2 linked regions of the Arabidopsis thaliana genome follow. The gene in region 1 interacts genetically with each later gene. Each region holds a gene or a part of one and is shown in the gene's direction. Other genes may lie near its edges.

Region 1 (7,823 bases):
TATTTCATAAATCCCACTATATATGATAAGAAATTGACAAGAGATACATATTCAACCATGAGATGTATTCTTATCCTACATAGCATTCACACATATAATGATTTTTGTAACCTTGACAAGAACCACCCATATAATTTTGATTAAGGCAGTAAATATTACATTTATCTTCTTTGTCGTGGCCGTTTGGATCTGGGCATTTTATTCCTGTTAGAATTTGTGCTTCTCCAAACTCTATCAATTTATGAAAAAATAAAAATTAATGGTTTTATTTGCTAAATAAAATGATAACAAAAATATTTTGTATGAATCAGGCAAATAAAACAACTTTAGAAGTAAAATGTATATCTTGTCCAAACAAAAAAAGAAGTTAAATGTATATTATGATTAATTCAAGATAAAGATTAATAAACTAAATCTTAATTAACAGAAATTAGTTATAAATAAAATTGAAAAGTTATCAAAAGGAAAATGTATGTCAAAGATATAAATTACCTGCTGTTGAGAGAACACAAAGGCAAAGAACCAAGAAGAATGAGACTTTGTTAGACGCCATTTATCTTCTTTCTTTTCTTTTTTTTTGATGAAGTTTTTTCCTTAGAAAATATATATGAATTTAAACAAGGAGAGTTTGTCAGCCCCCAAATATATATGTTTAGAAGAGTTTCTTGGGTTATACATTGTTGATACATTTTCAAATCTTTATAGATATTTTCCTTAGAGAAATAGGGATATTTTTACAGCAAATAGAAATATCTGATTTGCTTTGATTGTTAAACAAAAAAATGGAAAAATATATCTAAAAGTAACATTTTTGGCCAAGTATTACCATAATTTTTGCATGACTGTCTTGTCATGTTTGACTATTTGAAGTGTGCACAAACCTTTGGTTAATGGGAGTCCTGAAATTTGTATTTTCCTAAAGAAGGGCATACATTGAATCTTTGAATGTGAAGCATTTCCATGTTGTCATTTGATTAGGCCACACAGAAAAAAAAAATATCTTAACTTACAGTAAAAAAAATTTCTCCCTTTTAAATATCCCAAACATGAAAAAGTAATATCTCTACACTCTAACATAAATTTCCCAAAAATAAAAATAGAGAATCTGAGGAAAAAACTGCCGTGATGTTATCAAAATGAAAAAAGATGAATAAATCAGTAACTATATCTAGGGTAGAAAAGTAATTATTTGTGTTCAGACCATATGAATATGTTCATTCAAAAGTATAAAGCCCATCAAGTAAAAGATAACAACATAATGCGACAGTTCATTAACAAAAACATACGGCCCATCAACACTTAACAACAATCGAGATACATGGAGCCAACTCTTTCTTGGTCAAAGTCCGAATCATTCATCAAGCTGCACCAACCTTGCCAATGAGCGACTTTCGGATGTACACACATTCAATAAAACACCTTTTAAACAAGATGTAATTTTTTTCTTTGAATTCTTGTGACGACAAATGAGAACTAAAGAGCCTTGAAATAAAAAAAAATTGTGCTTTTCCGCATCATTTTTGATAATTTAAGATTCAACCCGTCCGGGTTGGTCCGTTCGTGTTTCGACCAATATTATAAGCCGATCGGATCCGTTTTTGAAAGAACACTTGTGACTTGTGAGATTAAATTTTTTGGTAAAGTGTGACTTGCGAGATGATAGTAATATGCAACAATGTCACAAAAATAAAAATAAAAGTAATATGCAACATTAAATAACCAAAATTTGACTTAGCCATTACGATACAGTTTAAATTATGCGATGGATTCTGGAGCACGATGTAAGAGATCATTGACTATAATATCATTATTGTGTAATAAAAAATTATTTTTTGCATTTTTAAAATTATAAATATTTCAACTATCTAGATTATTATAATACCACTAGATTGGAATGACATCGTATATATGGTAGAAATAAAACCGGATCCTGCGCTCCTTTCTCTCCTTATTATTGGTCGACTTCAAGGCCACGAAATCGAATATTATTAATTTACAATGACATTTCGGATATAAATTTAAATGTTTAATCTAAAAAGTATACTTTATTTGAAATAGGATAATTTCAGAAGAATCTTTAATTATAAAATCCTTATATATGTCTGTATTAGTGATTTAGCTGCTCGTTACGAATATATTAAAACAATAAATAAAATTACTTCCATAGACAAATGATTCAGGTTTAAGACGAGATTTGACGAAATCGTCTAACGATGATGGAGTATAAGTTCAAAATAAAAGTTTGTGTGGAGCTATAAGAAATATCCCCAAACAATGTAAATTGTATTCGGAATCCTAATTGTCTCAGTTTTAGTTGAAAATCTTTTTTTTTTCTGGTTAACACACTAAAAGAAGCAAATGTAGTTTCTAAGGAAGTCCATCCTAGTTAAAATCTTGAAGCCGACGGTGTAAACCCACTCGGATTGTGGAAGATGAATTTTAGGAGTCGAACAAGAGACCAGTCTGGAGAAACTTTGAGTTGCATGATATAGCTTGTTATAATTGTATTCTATGATTGAAAAAAGTACTGCTCGGTTTCTTATGATCTCATTGATGCGTGTGAAGATGAAAAAAGCTCTGTTTGATCTTCACCAAAAAGAAAAGTTATTCGATAAAGTATTCAACTAATATAAAATGACCATTCGTTGTTTGTATTATCATTCAATAAAGCAGCCTTTCTAATATTGTACTATTCTTTAATAAACCCCTTAACTTACGTTTCCAAATAGAAAGTTCTTGCATTAGTCATAAATTAACATTTCATAAACTTTTCATTATGAAATTCTTATAATTTTATAACATTATAAAATTCATGCAGTGTCTATTAATTAGCAATTTAAGACTAACATAAACTTAATCAACTCTGCCAACTGGTCAACGTAATTAAGTAGCTGCAGATCGATGATGTGTCATTTTTTCATTGGATCAGAGAACAAAATGCGTTTTACAGCTGAAAGTTTCTTTTACAAAATGCACTCATTTCATGCGGTGTCCGTTAGTGATTAACGCTGGATAAATAGATTGCTTTATTCAATTTGAAAAAGATCAAAATATAGCACATAAATAAAAAAAATTAGAATATTTGTTCCGATCATAAATTTATGCGTATACAGTATATGTGTATTTTTATAGGATTAAAGATACATATAAATTTCTTATATTTAATAGATATCGTTAAATGTTAAAGAAAATTTATCTAAAAACTAGCTAGTAAACATACAAATATATCACAAAAAATACATTCACCCCTGAACTGCCTATAAAGAATGATTGTGGATTAATTTTTGACATATATTAGGTCTAAGAAAAAAGAGAGAAAATATTGTTTTTTTTCTCTCTCAGCTTTTGTTTCCCATGCATACAGCTTTATGTTAGCGAAGAACTAGTATGATCTGGTACTCCGGTACTCCGGTACAGACGAAAGAAAGAAAGAAAAAACTTGTTTTAGTTGCCTCAATGTCAACTACTATGCTTTAATTATGATGCCAATTAACAAAAAAAAAACGAAATATTCCGAAGTAGTGTTCAGACCAGATCCATCTGGATTGCAATACAATTTGATATTATTTATATGATTGGCATTATCTTATTATATAATGCTGAGTCGTCTGGTTGAGATTATTCAAGAATAGAGACGAAGCTGGTAACATGGTGGTGGTGATTACCATTATAAACAATATTTTTAGTCTGTATATCTTCTTATTAAAATGCGAAGTCAAAGTCTGTTGGCTTTGGGTCCCTTCCTATAAAAACCTAGTTAGGCAAAAGAAAACGACAATAATTTTTTTTTTGATGTAAAGAAGAAAAACAAAAAGAGCAGATCCAGTTGATCTCAAGATCGCATCTGAATCATATAATAGCATGATCAAAGAGGAGACCGTTTCATACTTCCAAACTTTCGATGGTGTTATGGCAGAATCTGACAAGGTAAAACAAAACACTATTTCTCGATTTAACCGTTTAAACCACAAATTTCTCTAATTCTTGTTTTATTTTCAATCTCCTTCTGGTGTTTCAATCGGTTAGAATTAATCTCATGATCATATGATTCTGTTATATATTTACATATAGTTACCATATAATTCTTATGTCTGAAATTAATACAGTTTTACTGCATCTGATAAAAGTCAACTTGCTTGTTCGGAAATGGTCTCGAGTATCGAAAGTTCATTATTTTTTTTGGGACGGTTATTTAATGCTCAAGGATACCAAGATTTTCCGGTATTTAGAAAACTTCGGATGAAAACATTTATAATTAAGATCCGCTCTAATTAATATAGGTCGGATCGATCCATTTTTTTTCTTTTTTTCTTTATTGGCATTCGATCATGTTCACTTTTATAATACTATTTACTTTGTGTGTATTGAGAACTATTTATCGTAGAAGTTTAGAAGATAGGTCCAAACAGTTTTTAGATAAAAAGTGAATATAAATGTGTCTTGGATATTACAGGAAGAGGAGCTTGATGCAACAAAAGCAAAGGTGGAGAAAGTTCGGGAAGAAAATGAGAAATTAAAGCTCTTACTCTCTACGATTCTTAATAATTACAACTCTCTTCAAATGCAAGTCTCTAAAGTTCTCGGACAACAACAAGGAGCTTCGTCTATGGAGCTAGACCACATTGATCGTCAAGATGAAAATAACGACTATGATGTGGATATATCACTTAGGCTTGGAAGATCAGAGCAAAAGATCTCTAAAAAGGAGGAAAATAAGGTGGACAAGATTTCTACTAAGAACGTAGAGGAGTCAAAAGATAAAAGATCTGCACTGGGTTTTGGATTTCAGATTCAAAGCTATGAAGCCTCGAAACTAGATGATCTTTGTAGGCAGGTTAAGCTTGCAAACGCTGAAAATAAATGTGTATCTTCGAGGAAAGATGTCAAATCAGTTAGAAATGAAAACCATCAAGATGTTTTGGAGGAGCATGAACAAACAGGTTTGAAGAAAACTAGGGTTTGTGTTAAAGCATCATGTGAAGACCCATCAGTACGTACCATCAAAACCATACATTACATATATGTGTTTATTTACCATTTCACATCTAATTTAATTATTTGATCATATACACGTTACATGAATATATATAGATAAACGACGGTTGCCAGTGGAGGAAATATGGTCAAAAGACTGCGAAAACCAATCCTCTCCCACGAGCCTATTACCGTTGCTCCATGTCGTCAAATTGTCCCGTTAGAAAACAGGTATAATACATTCTATAATTTCTCAATCCAAATATCTGTTTATTAACAATTGGTTTTGAGTAAAAACTTTTAAAACGAATGTCTATAGGTGCAAAGATGTGGAGAAGAAGAAACCTCCGCTTTTATGACAACGTACGAAGGAAACCATGACCATCCTCTCCCCATGGAAGCAAGCCACATGGCAGCTGGAACTTCCGCGGCTGCCTCCTTATTACAATCTGGCTCCTCCTCTTCCTCCTCCTCCACCTCAGCGAGTCTAAGCTATTTCTTCCCTTTTCACCACTTCTCTATCTCCACCACTAACTCGCACCCGACTGTAACATTGGACCTCACACGACCAAACTATCCCAATCAGTTACCAGACGACTACCCTCTATCGTCCTCCTCTTTCAGTCTCAACTTTTCCTCTCCAGATCCTCCACCTCCATCATCGCATGACCACACCTTGAACTTTAGTGGCTTGCGAACACAAGCTCCGTTGAGTACAGATTCATTATTGGCCCGTTATCGAACGAGACTTTCCGGACAGCAATAAGCCAGTAACTGTATCGGTATAGCTAGACACAAGTCTAGAAAGTAACTGATTTCCGTTTTCTTTGTCATTCATTTGTTTTTCAGCCTCTGAAAGAGAGATCTGGTTTTGGCATGATATGCAAAATGCTTATATACTTGTAGATATCCAAATGTTTAAATTAGTGGATTACCTATCATATCATGGATTATATATGTATATGAAGGTTTTGTAAATTAATGGTCTACACAAATTTGATACACCAAATATTTTTTTATGCTTATAAAAATTTTAAATACAATGTTAATTTTTTTTGTTGGTGAATTAAGTAAGTATGACTATGATGACACAATGATATCTAAAATGGAAGGTGGTTTTCATGCAGATTGACAAAATCTCCCTCTTTCACTTTTGCAAAATTGTTTGATTTTTACAAAATAAACTTTAGTTAGCATCACATAAAATAGTGGGTTATTTGACAAATTATCAACACAACGTATTATTATTTGAAATCACATACGTATTGTTTACTAATTTGATTATTATTATTTTTTGCTACAGACATTTACTAATTTGATGGTCAAAATTGTAGTCACCATTAAAATTATTTACATAAAAGAATTGATTATTTTACTTCCCTCAATTATCAAATATAAATTTGTGATGAATTTGACCGAAATGAAGATGTCTGAATTGTTTGAGCCACCTAAATGTTTAGATGGTCGATTCTTAAAAAGGAAAGAAAACAAAATGACCAAAAGAAAGAAAACGTATGAAACTATGATCCATCAGATATTACTTTTAAATCAATCTTGGGCTCAGGCCCGTTACTACCGTTTTCTATCTTAGAATTCGGCCCATCCACGTCAGCGACTCCGGTTATAACGCTGTTAAACTCTTTTGACACACGACCACTTATTATAACGTCACGTGTCAATGCACTTCATCAGGACGCGCGTAACCGCCAGAAAAGCGAAACCAAAGGTCCATCTCCGACACGTTGCTTATCCGACCACACTCACCACTGTTCTAAATTCTCTCTTTTTTTTTTCCTTAACCAAAAAAGCTCTCTTTTTTTCTTCTGGGTTTCATCGTTTCCAATCTAAAATCATCGTAGATTTGTTTGAAATTCTTCAAATTGAGCCGGTATCAAGACATGGCGGGAAGTGAAGCGGTAGAAGATAAGGAGATAAAATCGGCGGTTTCAAGCTGTGAAGCGTATTTCGAGAAAGTACAATCAAGGAAGAATCTACCCAAATCTCTTCAAGAAACCCTAAACTCTGCTTTCGCCGGAATCCCAGTCTCCTCCTTCCCTCAAGTCCCCGGCGGCAGAGGTAAAAATTAGAAAGATCCCATTTTTTTCGATTCCTCCAAATTTCCTGATTTCTCGTTTAAAGTTTGAGACTTGGCAATGGTTTAGATTCAATTAGTGTTTTGTTTGATCGTAGTGATAGAGATTCAAGCGGAAACACCTGTATCAGAAGCAGTAAAGATCTTATCAGATAGCAAGATTCTATCAGCTCCTGTGATTAACACAGATCACGAGAGTTCTTTAGATTGGAGAGAAAGATATTTAGGAATCATTGACTACTCTTCAATCATCTTATGGGTGCTAGAGAGTGCTGAACTCGCTGCAATCGCGTTGTCCGCTACGTCAGCAACTGCTGCTGGTGTTGGTGCTGGAGCTGTTGGAGCTCTTGGTGTTGCAGCGCTCGGGATGACCGGTCCGGTTGCTGCTGCGGGGCTAGCCGCAGCTGCGGTTGGAGCCGCGGTTGCTGGTGGTGTTGCAGCTGAACGTGGGATTGGAAAAGATGCTCCAACTGCTGCTGATAAGTTGGGGAAAGATTTCTATGAAGTTATTCTTCAAGAAGAGCCTTTTAAATCAACCACTGTAAGTTTTTTAACAGAACATTAAGTTATTTGTGTTGTGATGGTCCTGATTGATCATGGATATATGTTTATGTTGTCAGGTTAGAACAATACTTAAGTCGTTTAGATGGGCTCCTTTTCTTCCGGTTTCAACAGAGAGTTCGATGTTGAGTGTTATGTTGTTACTCTCGAAATATCGGTTAAGAAATGTGCCGGTTATTAAAACAGGAGAACCGGA
Region 2 (9,771 bases), on another chromosome or scaffold:
CTATGTTTCGATTGCTTGATACTCTTGTTTCACATGTTCATACTCTGGAATTGATTATAGATTAGTGTTTTTACAGTTTTAATGGAAACTGTTCCACCATCTCCCATTACATGGCCAGATGGGGGAGCTCTCACTAACGACTGGGTACATGGGCTTATGTCGTGTTTCGAATGGTCTTCATGGAATCTACCTCCTTCCCAGTTACCTTCACTATTGCCTGTCAACGTCTTTGATTCCCTCGTCCTCACCGCTCATAAAATCCTCCACAAAGAACGTAACTGCGTTCATATCGATGATCTTGACTCTGTATCCAACGTTGTTGTGGTTGGTGACATTCATGGTCAGCTTCATGACCTTCTTTTCCTATTGAAAGATACTGGCTTTCCTTGTCAAAACCGGTGTTATGTTTTCAACGGAGACTATGTGGATCGCGGTGCTTGGGGACTTGAAACCTTCCTTGTTCTCTTGTCCTGGAAGGTAAACTCTTTACTAAGCTGTTTTACTATTGGCTCAAGTCTTAGTATTCTTAAAGCACATATCTTTTTGGTTGTTTAGGTTTTGATGCCGGACAGAGTCTACCTACTCCGTGGTAATCATGAGTCAAAGTATTGTACATCTATGTATGGTTTCGAGAAGGAAGTGCTTACAAAATACGGAGACAAGGGAAAACATGTGTACCGGAAATGTTTGGGTTGCTTTGAAGGTCTTCCTTTGGCTTCCATAATTTCTGGACGTGTTTATACAGCACATGGAGGGCTTTTCCGCAGCCCAGTCTTGCCTAAGCGAACAACAAGGGGGAAAAAGAACCGTCGGGTAGTTCTTCTGGAACCTGAGCCGAGCTCAATGAAACTCGGTACCTTAGATGAGTTGATGCAAGCTCGAAGATCAGTTCTTGATCCTCCTTGGGAAGGTTCAAACTTGATACCAGGAGACGTTTTATGGTCTGATCCTTCAATGACTCCGGGCCTTTCACCAAATGAACAGAGAGGCATTGGTCTTCTTTGGGGTCCCGATTGTACAGAGGATTTTTTGAAGAAATATGAACTGAAGGTGACACCAAAGTAGATATTGATGCTTGTTTGCTTCCCAAATACTGATATGGATGATTGGATCAAATGTTTTACACTTATTGGTGCAGTTGATCATCAGATCACATGAAGGTCCAGATGCTAGAGAGAAGAGAACTGGTCTTGGTGGAATGGACAATGGATATACAATAGACCACAATGTCGAATCCGGAAAGCTTATCACTATTTTCAGTGCACCTGACTATCCGCAATTCCAAGTATGTATTTTTACGCCTTTGGTATTTGCATTTTCTAAAGATATGCGTTAACAATCATTTTTGTGTGTGGTGTAGGCAACAGAAGAGAGGTACAAAAACAAAGGAGCATATATTATTTTGCAGGCGCCTGATTTCTCGGATCCTCAATTTCATAGTTTCGAAGCTGTTAAACCGCGACCAAAGGTAACTAACTTACGATGCTGATAATGAACCAACGAGTTGTTTTACTTCTTTGATACACATACATAGCGACATCGGTTTTTAAATGTGCAGGCGCATCCATATTATGACTTTGAAAATGTCATTGATTCTGATGATGAGATGGATAAGTCAGCAATGGACACCAATAACGAACAACCAAATAGCTGACCGAAGCTGAAAAGGAGTATCTTGAATTGATGTTTTTTACAGTTGTTGTGATTGCTCATTATTTGCAAACATAAAATGGAATCAAATGTAAAGAAAAGAGATGAAGAAAATCATTTGTAGAATTCACATTTAAGTTATGTATGGAAGATGAAGAAATAAGAACCATCTTAAATCTCATGTAGTTCTTAGTTTCTTGGTTCCTACACGTCTTATTTAAACCTAAATCTTGTAAGATTTTGCTCTGTTTTGTCAGGTTAGCCTAAATCTTGAGAGGTCAAACTTGCAGTAACTTTCATTGTATAGAATTGCTTTTAACTGAATGATAAATCGAGTAGTAGATTAGTCCAATGGAAGTTTGTGGATCAAGTTATGTGTCTGTCGGCATTATAGTTTTCCTTTGAAATATTGACACATTACTAGAATCTTATCCAACAAAAAATTGTGTGGTTATGAAAATCCTAAGTAACGAGACAGCTTATTAAATGCCGAATTTGGTAGCAATTTGTTCAGATGAATGTATGTCTTCTTGTAAAAGACAGTATGAAGTGGAGGTTGATGCTAACTATCTTATGGTTCCTTATTGCACTTTGAAGCATTTATTGCAATTGTTTTCGGTTTTTTCTCTTGAGTGGGCTAAACTAATAATGGTCTGTTCTTTCTCTAAAGAGAGAAGAATTCGACAGGAGCGTGAAGCATCTTCATTCGCAAATATAACACATTAAAGCTACCTCTAGCATCATCTGTGTGATTCTCTCCAAGGTCATTCGTTGTCTGTCACGGGGCATCTCAAGTAATAAAGCTTAAAGTTAACTGTCTTTTCAGCCAAATAGTTTCATCATCTAAATATTCACATGATCTTCCATATTTCATCACCGATTATGGTTACAACATTTTTGCAAACCCTAAAATTTGTGTTATCGCCAAACTTGACCCTTATACCGGAACCCATGTGGGTGGGTGTTGATTTTTACTGTTTTGTAATTTGTTCATCGACAATCATTGACATGTACTCACCGCAATGTTTTTTCTTTCCTAGTTTCATGTGCATATATGTCTCTAAACAGTAATTGTTTAGCACTTCATGTCAAGCTTAAATTATTATAGGTGTCTTATCTTGTCTCTCTAGTATTTTCTGTTGAAGTCATGTGCATTAAATTGTATATAGTACTTCCAATGGCTTTCATATAATTTCCATTTTTCCACAAATTGTTCGTAATGATGTTTATTTAACAAGATTATAAAAGATAATGCAACAAATTTGTGTGATGAATGATGAGATGAACCCATTTGAAAGAGGTCGCAACAAATGTCAACATTAGAGACCATCTTGATCTAGAGTTTTGTCTCGTTGACTTTAATGCCAAAATTGGACAATACATATAATGCATGTATCAGGCAATGCAAAAATATCTTCATTCATTTAATTTTCTTACTATAATAGATGTCACAACTTCCCTCACTGACAAGCATATAATGTTGGTTTTATCTCAATGTAAACAACCTTTTAGTTTCACATAAATGTTAGGTCGAGCGAGGTGATATATTCGTTCCAGATCGGATGAAACAAGTAATTCATCGATGTTACCTTTATCCATATGTATATGTAAGATTATGGGTTTTAGGTAATCTAGTAAGTACTACTAAGTAGTATCCGTATGTAATTTTTTATTTATTTTTATCCGTTATGTATAATTTCTTTGGCCGTTTTCGCAAAATCTATATTTGGATGTTTTAGATCGTGAATTGATATATCTTAATTTGAATATTTAGGTATTCATATATTTTGAATCTATAGTTGACCTGTTGACCATGTATTTTGATTTGAATATCTCGCTCGATCGATAGAAGATTTTTTTTTGTTTTTGTTTTGTTGATAGTAGAATCTTCAAGTTGTAATTTAACAAAAAAAAAAAAAATCAAGTTGTAAGTAGACCGTATATCTGTATATTTCCATATGTAGAACCATGCATTTTGAATAATTGAATAAAATAACATGTAGCAAGACGTATCTTCATATGATAATCAGAATCATAATAAAAAGACAAACTGTACACCATATTGTAATCCAGGTTTAATTTGACCTCTTTGAAAAACTAAAATAGCTGAACTGAATATTTATAACTAAAAAGACAAATTGGATATGTCACTTTGGACTATGAAACTCAGAATTTTTTTTGACTAACGTGTATACTTTCACACGTGTGCATGACTAAAAACATATGATTAGGCTCTTACGATCTATGCGCCTTACACCTGTGAATGATGAACACATAAAACACAAGTTACGATCTAGAATGTCATGTGTACTGGCTTAAATCTACTTATGTGAAGAGGTAAATGAAATGGTCAAGAAACAAAAAAAAAAAGAAATGGTGAAATTATGAAAGTATAAAACTTTACCGGTGAGGTCCGTATTTGGATTTATTAAGTGAAGAGGGACCCTTTTGCAATTAAAGCCTGTACGACAAAAAAGAGATTTACTGTACGGTTAAAACAAAAAATAAAAAAACCAGCAAAAGTAAAAAAGTCAAAAAGCAGATATATGACATGTGCAAATCTCCATCGCGCCTTTATTACCATCTACCGCTTTCTCTCTCTGTCTTTCCTTGTTCAACCCTCGAGAGATTACGGATAGTGAAAGAGAAGCTACAAAATTTCCCAATTTATCAAAAAATAGAAATTTCTTACTTTTTTCAAAATTCATTTCTCCCCAAAAAAAATATCTTGTGAAAACTGCAACTGTGATCCATGGCGGAGGATATGGCTGCCGACGAAGTTACGGCTCCTCCTCGTAAGGTTCTTATCATCTCCGCTGGTGCTAGCCACTCCGTCGCTCTTCTCTGTACGTCTCTCTTCTTCTTCGCTGTTTTTTTTCCTTTTCTATTACGGACTCAAATAATCACCGGAATTGTGAAATCCGCTGCTTTAGTAGGCTGTGCTCTTCGCGAATTCTCTTGATCTGGCCTTTAATCGAGTTTCCCTTACTTTCGTCGTCTACTAATGAGTAGTTTTATGTTTTGATTTTGTAGCTGGTGACATTGTTTGTTCTTGGGGTCGAGGAGAGGATGGACAGTTAGGTCATGGCGATGCAGAGGATCGACCTTCTCCGACTCAGCTTAGCGCTTTAGATGGCCACCAAATTGTTTCCGTTACCTGTGGTGCTGATCACACTGTTGCTTATTCACAATCAGGCATGGAAGTCTACAGTTGGGGATGGTTTGTTTCTCATCATTATCTTCTTCTTTGCTGCTGAATCAATTGCTCTTCAGTCTGTTTGATATATTCGGGATGAGATGATGACCACTAGTTCCTCTCTAGATTTTTGTGTAGAAAACAGTAACTAATTATACACTCATTTGCACATATTTTAAGCCTCGTGTTCTCTAACCTTTATGTGTACTTTGCAGGGGTGATTTTGGGAGATTAGGCCATGGTAACTCAAGCGACTTGTTTACTCCGCTACCAATCAAAGCATTGCACGGTATTCGGATCAAGCAGATTGCTTGTGGGGATAGTCATTGTTTGGCTGTCACTATGGAAGGAGAGGTCCAGAGGTATTTTCTCTTTGTTATTGTTCTTCTCCTTATGTGCAATCATTTACAGTTTACATCTCAGCTCAATTAGATGAATTTCATCGGAATTTGATAATGTCGATTGCGTCCTGTGTCATTTCTATATATCTTGGTTATTGTGTACATTGCCTTTTAAACGTTTTGTCTGTCTTGTCTTGTTTTCCAACATATCTCTTTGACTTCTGTTTATACAGTTGGGGCCGCAACCAGAATGGTCAACTTGGTCTGGGGGACACCGAAGATTCTCTAGTGCCTCAGAAGATTCAAGCCTTTGAGGTTTGTATCACTAAATATTCTTCTAACATCTTTTTTCGTTGTAGTTTCCTCAACTTGCCAAATACTATGCTTCAGAATTGGGTCAATGTTGGGTCTATTTCTGCAACTTGATCTTCTTAAACATATGACTGTTACTAGTTAAGGGTCCACATCTGGTGAAGATGTCTTCAGAATCATAATTTAAGTTACATAATTTTAGGAGTGGTAGATACTAAATTGGATGTCTATGTGTTATACTATCTGCAAAACACAGATAGAAGGTAGGATCTTATTGATAATTTATCGGACTAGGTAAACTAGAAGATTAAGTGATTAGAGACCCTGAGTTTATGTTGTTAGTTTCGCTGATCTCCATTGTTACATCAACACTTTAAACTTGTAATGGGTGCAGGGAATACGAATCAAAATGGTTGCTGCTGGTGCAGAACACACTGCTGCAGTTACAGAAGATGGTGACCTCTATGGATGGGGCTGGGGAAGATACGGAAATTTGGGATTAGGTGACCGGACTGACCGCTTAGTTCCTGAAAGAGTTACCTCTACTGGTGTAAGCTAGAAGACTCTTGTTCTATAATTTTTGTTTAAGCACCTGCTACTTGTTTAAACTTGCATTTGAAGTTCAGTATACGTGAAAGAAATCGTGAATAGCTCAATATGCACTGCACTATTCTGGATTAGCTGTCTATATTGATGGAGTCACACGTATATGCAGTCTAATTTCAGTTGGTGGGTGTCAGGGAAGTGACCATAAAACTTTTAGAATGATCAAAGTTTGGTATCCTGAATCTGCACAGTTCATGAAATGAAATTTAGTTCATATAACATTGATATCACGCAACCTCACCTTTTTACCAACTTCTATTTCTGCATTTTAGTCCCTCAATTTTTTCCTTAATTCTCTTTTCATTTCGACTCACTTGACTCTCGTTTTCCTGGTTGTAACTACAATTTTAGGGTGAGAAAATGTCAATGGTTGCTTGTGGATGGCGGCACACAATATCAGTTTCCTACTCTGGAGCATTGTATACTTATGGATGGAGCAAATATGGACAGCTAGGACATGGAGACTTGGAGGATCACCTTATTCCTCACAAACTGGAAGCACTGAGCAACAGTTTTATCTCCCAGGTTTCACTTAGGCCTTATAAATCTGTCTTGAAATACAAATTTGTACATCTGAAATATCCAACATATGGGATAGCAATAATATGTTTTTCGAAAACTTTCTGACAACTATTACCTACTGAAGAAGACTGGCTTCATTGTATGTACTTCTGTTGGTTTTCTTCTTCTGTTCGACATCTTTTGGACTTACTGTTCGTTTCTTTTCCAGATTTCGGGAGGTTGGAGACATACAATGGCATTGACTTCAGATGGAAAACTATATGGATGGGGTTGGAATAAGGTCTAGAATGTCTTGCTTTTTTTTTTTTTTTTTCTGGCCTATATTTCGTAGAAATGTATAGAACACCTATTTTCATCTACACATTCACTGATATTTGCATTTAGTTGCTTTATGCTGTTAAGGAGTGATATGCATTCACTTAGATGTTATTTTAAGAAAACAACAATGCATATATTGGGTAACTTTAGTAACTCATCTTGAATAAAACAAACTTCTAATTGTCTCTCTTTTAGCCTGCAGTTTGGACAAGTAGGAGTCGGCAATAATTTAGATCAGTGTTCTCCTGTGCAAGTGCGATTTCCCGATGATCAGGCATGTTATCCCTAAAAAAGTTTAACGAGAAAGCTCGTCCCAATGTTTTACCGGCTATATAATCATATTAATAAGTTCATGTCTCAATTCGCTGTTTTCTTTTCCAATGCACACATATTGTGGAATTTCACAGAAAGTAGTTCAAGTCTCATGTGGATGGAGACATACCTTGGCTGTCACTGAAAGAAATAACGTGTTTGCTTGGGGTAGAGGTACAAATGGACAGCTCGGCATTGGAGAGTCGGTTGACAGGTAAAAGTGTGATCATCTAATCGCTCATGAATCAATGTTTTCCACTTAACATATCTTGGTGTTACGAACAGAATATGAAAATTGGCCAGTAAGATCGTTGTTTCCACCAAAATCATTGCTTTTCAATCCCACTCACTACCTATCTTGATAATGTGAAATGGATATTTGGTTTGGTGTTTATAGGAACTTTCCCAAGATTATAGAGGCACTCAGCGTCGATGGAGCAAGTGGACAACATATAGAATCTTCTAATATCGATCCATCTTCAGGTATTTAAACAATACCACTAGTTAAAACGATTTCTGTAAACGACTCAACAAGTGATTAAATGATTCAACTTTTGCATTGCTTTGTTACCAGGGAAAAGCTGGGTGTCGCCTGCAGAGAGATATGCAGTTGTTCCTGATGAAACGGTAAGCCTTAATTTTGTTAATTCTACTAAACTTTATATCCAATACGTAAACTACAATGAAAGCAAATGGCACAATTATATCGGCTTAGAACCAGATTTTACTGATTAATCATTGCTGCACAATTATACCTTGCTCTGTCAAGATCGTGGATTGTTTTCAAGGATGAAATCTATGTGTGTGATTTTGAATTTGGTTGTGTGTTAGGGCCTAACGGATGGTTCAAGCAAAGGTAATGGAGGTGATATCAGTGTTCCACAAACTGATGTCAAGCGTGTACGAATTTGAGCCTGAGTCAATTCCGTTTTTTTTTTACTTCCGGTTCTTCCGTTGGATTCGAAGGTTTTTCAGTGATCTCTTTTGGGTTGAGGTTTGTACTAAGAGTACGTCTGTCTAGTTTGGGATTGTACTTTTTGTTGTTGTTGTTAGTTTGTAACTTGTGATGCTTCCCTCCCCCTAGCTCTCTTATTACATGGGCGTTGTAAACTGTGTGTACTACTACTACTAGTCTCTAGGGTATGTACTTTTTTTTTCCTCACCATAATAATACCTTCTGGTTCTATATCTTTCATTTCTTAAAAAGTTTTCTGTTTTTTCCTTCAACCATTATACAACTTATGTTTTAAGAGAATTTTCTTTTTGTCTTATTTTTTTACCGCCTATGTTTGAATTCAAATATGATATGATTGATAGTGACCCGCTGAGTTTTAGAGTATTTGAATTTTGGAAAAAAAAACAATTTTATCAATCAAGATCAAAACTTAAGAAGAACAGTGATCACAGATTAACAAGTTGAACTTCTCCTTTTTTATCAAAGTGTGAAGCGCAGATGAGAACGAGAGTAGTATGGGTATTTTAGTTTACAACTTTTGGGTAGGTTAGCCTTTAGGCCCAACACACAATGCATGTTTCGTATTTCTATATATTCTAGTCTCAATACGAAGAGTCTAGAATACGAAGAATTTCTAATGGACTAAGTGATGGATATGTCAAAAAGAAAAAAAATTGATCCTTCATCATCCGCCAACCTAGTTATGCTGCCTAATATATTTGGCGTTTAGTGAAAATTTTCTATTGGGTAAAACTTATGTGGGTGATTCTCTTTAAAGCAAAACCATCCATATTGCTCTTTTAGTGTTTCTCTTTATGTGTCGGGTTTCTTTCCCTTAAATTATTCCAAATCGATGTCACTTAGATTCGATTCCATGTTATTACCTTTTTCAGTTCCAAGTCGCCATCTTTCAAACTTTCTAATGATTCTTGATGTTTCATCCACGAGTCTTTCATTCCCACCACTTTCTTGCTTTTTTAATTTCGGGTAAATATTACTCCATATATCATTTCGCCAATCTTCTTATATTCACATACACTTATTCATACATTACGATTATCTCATGGCATTACTCCGGCAATGGACTATACCTTATGTTCAAGTTGTTTTTTCTTAAAAAACCTTTTTTCATAAATCTATGTTAATCTATAATTCATTTTCTACATAAATCTATTAGTATGTTTATTGTCTTTAAATCCATATCTGGTTAACAAACTTTCAATAAACACCACATCAATTATAGATTGAGAACACATTATGTATATAAATTACGCAAGATAAAAATTATACGAAACGAAGAACTTTTACATTATTCACATTTCCCCAAATGAAATATATTAAAATTTATATCTTTTGTTTTTTTCTCCACCACCTTCTTCTTCTTCATCATCATCATGGTTTGTTTAGTAAGTAGTCTTGAACGGCTTGTAAACCTTAAGGTCTAGCATTACTCCGGCGATGGAGCCAACTCCGGCGACCAACGTGATCATCAAACAACCACAGCTCAACATCTGCAGACAAACCCACTTCATACTCCATCTCTCAACCTTCCTCTGTCT

The links.
Region 2: of WRKY36 (region 1) and UVR8, changing one suppresses a phenotype caused by changing the other (phenotypic suppression), as found in Arabidopsis thaliana (one study listed by BioGRID).

What each region holds. Positions count from the first base shown.
Region 1 is NC_003070.9:26,275,155-26,282,977, reverse strand, and holds WRKY36 (WRKY DNA-binding protein 36), read left to right. Parts: upstream 1-3,722; 5' UTR 3,723-3,861; coding exon 3,862-3,927; intron 3,928-4,106; exon of another isoform or gene 4,107-4,453; coding exon 4,454-4,990; intron 4,991-5,091; coding exon 5,092-5,205; intron 5,206-5,293; coding exon 5,294-5,740; 3' UTR 5,741-6,030; downstream 6,031-7,823. Other genes in the region: AT1G69818 (Defensin-like (DEFL) family protein), read right to left, coding at 71-231, 493-553; AT1G69800 (Cystathionine beta-synthase (CBS) protein), read left to right, coding at 6,653-6,700, 6,834-7,050, 7,165-7,607, 7,687-7,823. UniProt on the Arabidopsis thaliana protein: Transcription factor. Interacts specifically with the W box (5'-(T)TGAC[CT]-3'), a frequently occurring elicitor-responsive cis-acting element.
Region 2 is NC_003076.8:25,553,219-25,562,989, reverse strand, and holds UVR8 (Regulator of chromosome condensation (RCC1) family protein), read left to right. Parts: upstream 1-3,490; 5' UTR 3,491-3,574; intron 3,575-4,005; 5' UTR 4,006-4,402; coding exon 4,403-4,496; intron 4,497-4,683; coding exon 4,684-4,870; intron 4,871-5,061; coding exon 5,062-5,208; intron 5,209-5,420; coding exon 5,421-5,502; intron 5,503-5,893; coding exon 5,894-6,049; intron 6,050-6,456; coding exon 6,457-6,630; intron 6,631-6,835; coding exon 6,836-6,907; intron 6,908-7,147; coding exon 7,148-7,219; intron 7,220-7,352; coding exon 7,353-7,471; intron 7,472-7,654; coding exon 7,655-7,740; intron 7,741-7,831; coding exon 7,832-7,884; intron 7,885-8,088; coding exon 8,089-8,169; 3' UTR 8,170-8,574; downstream 8,575-9,771. Other genes in the region: PP7 (serine/threonine phosphatase 7), read left to right, coding at 82-477, 556-1,050, 1,139-1,285, 1,361-1,468, 1,559-1,654; AAP4 (amino acid permease 4), read right to left, coding at 9,616-9,771. UniProt on the Arabidopsis thaliana protein: UV-B specific signaling component that acts as a UV-B photoreceptor and plays a key role in establishing UV-protective responses in plants.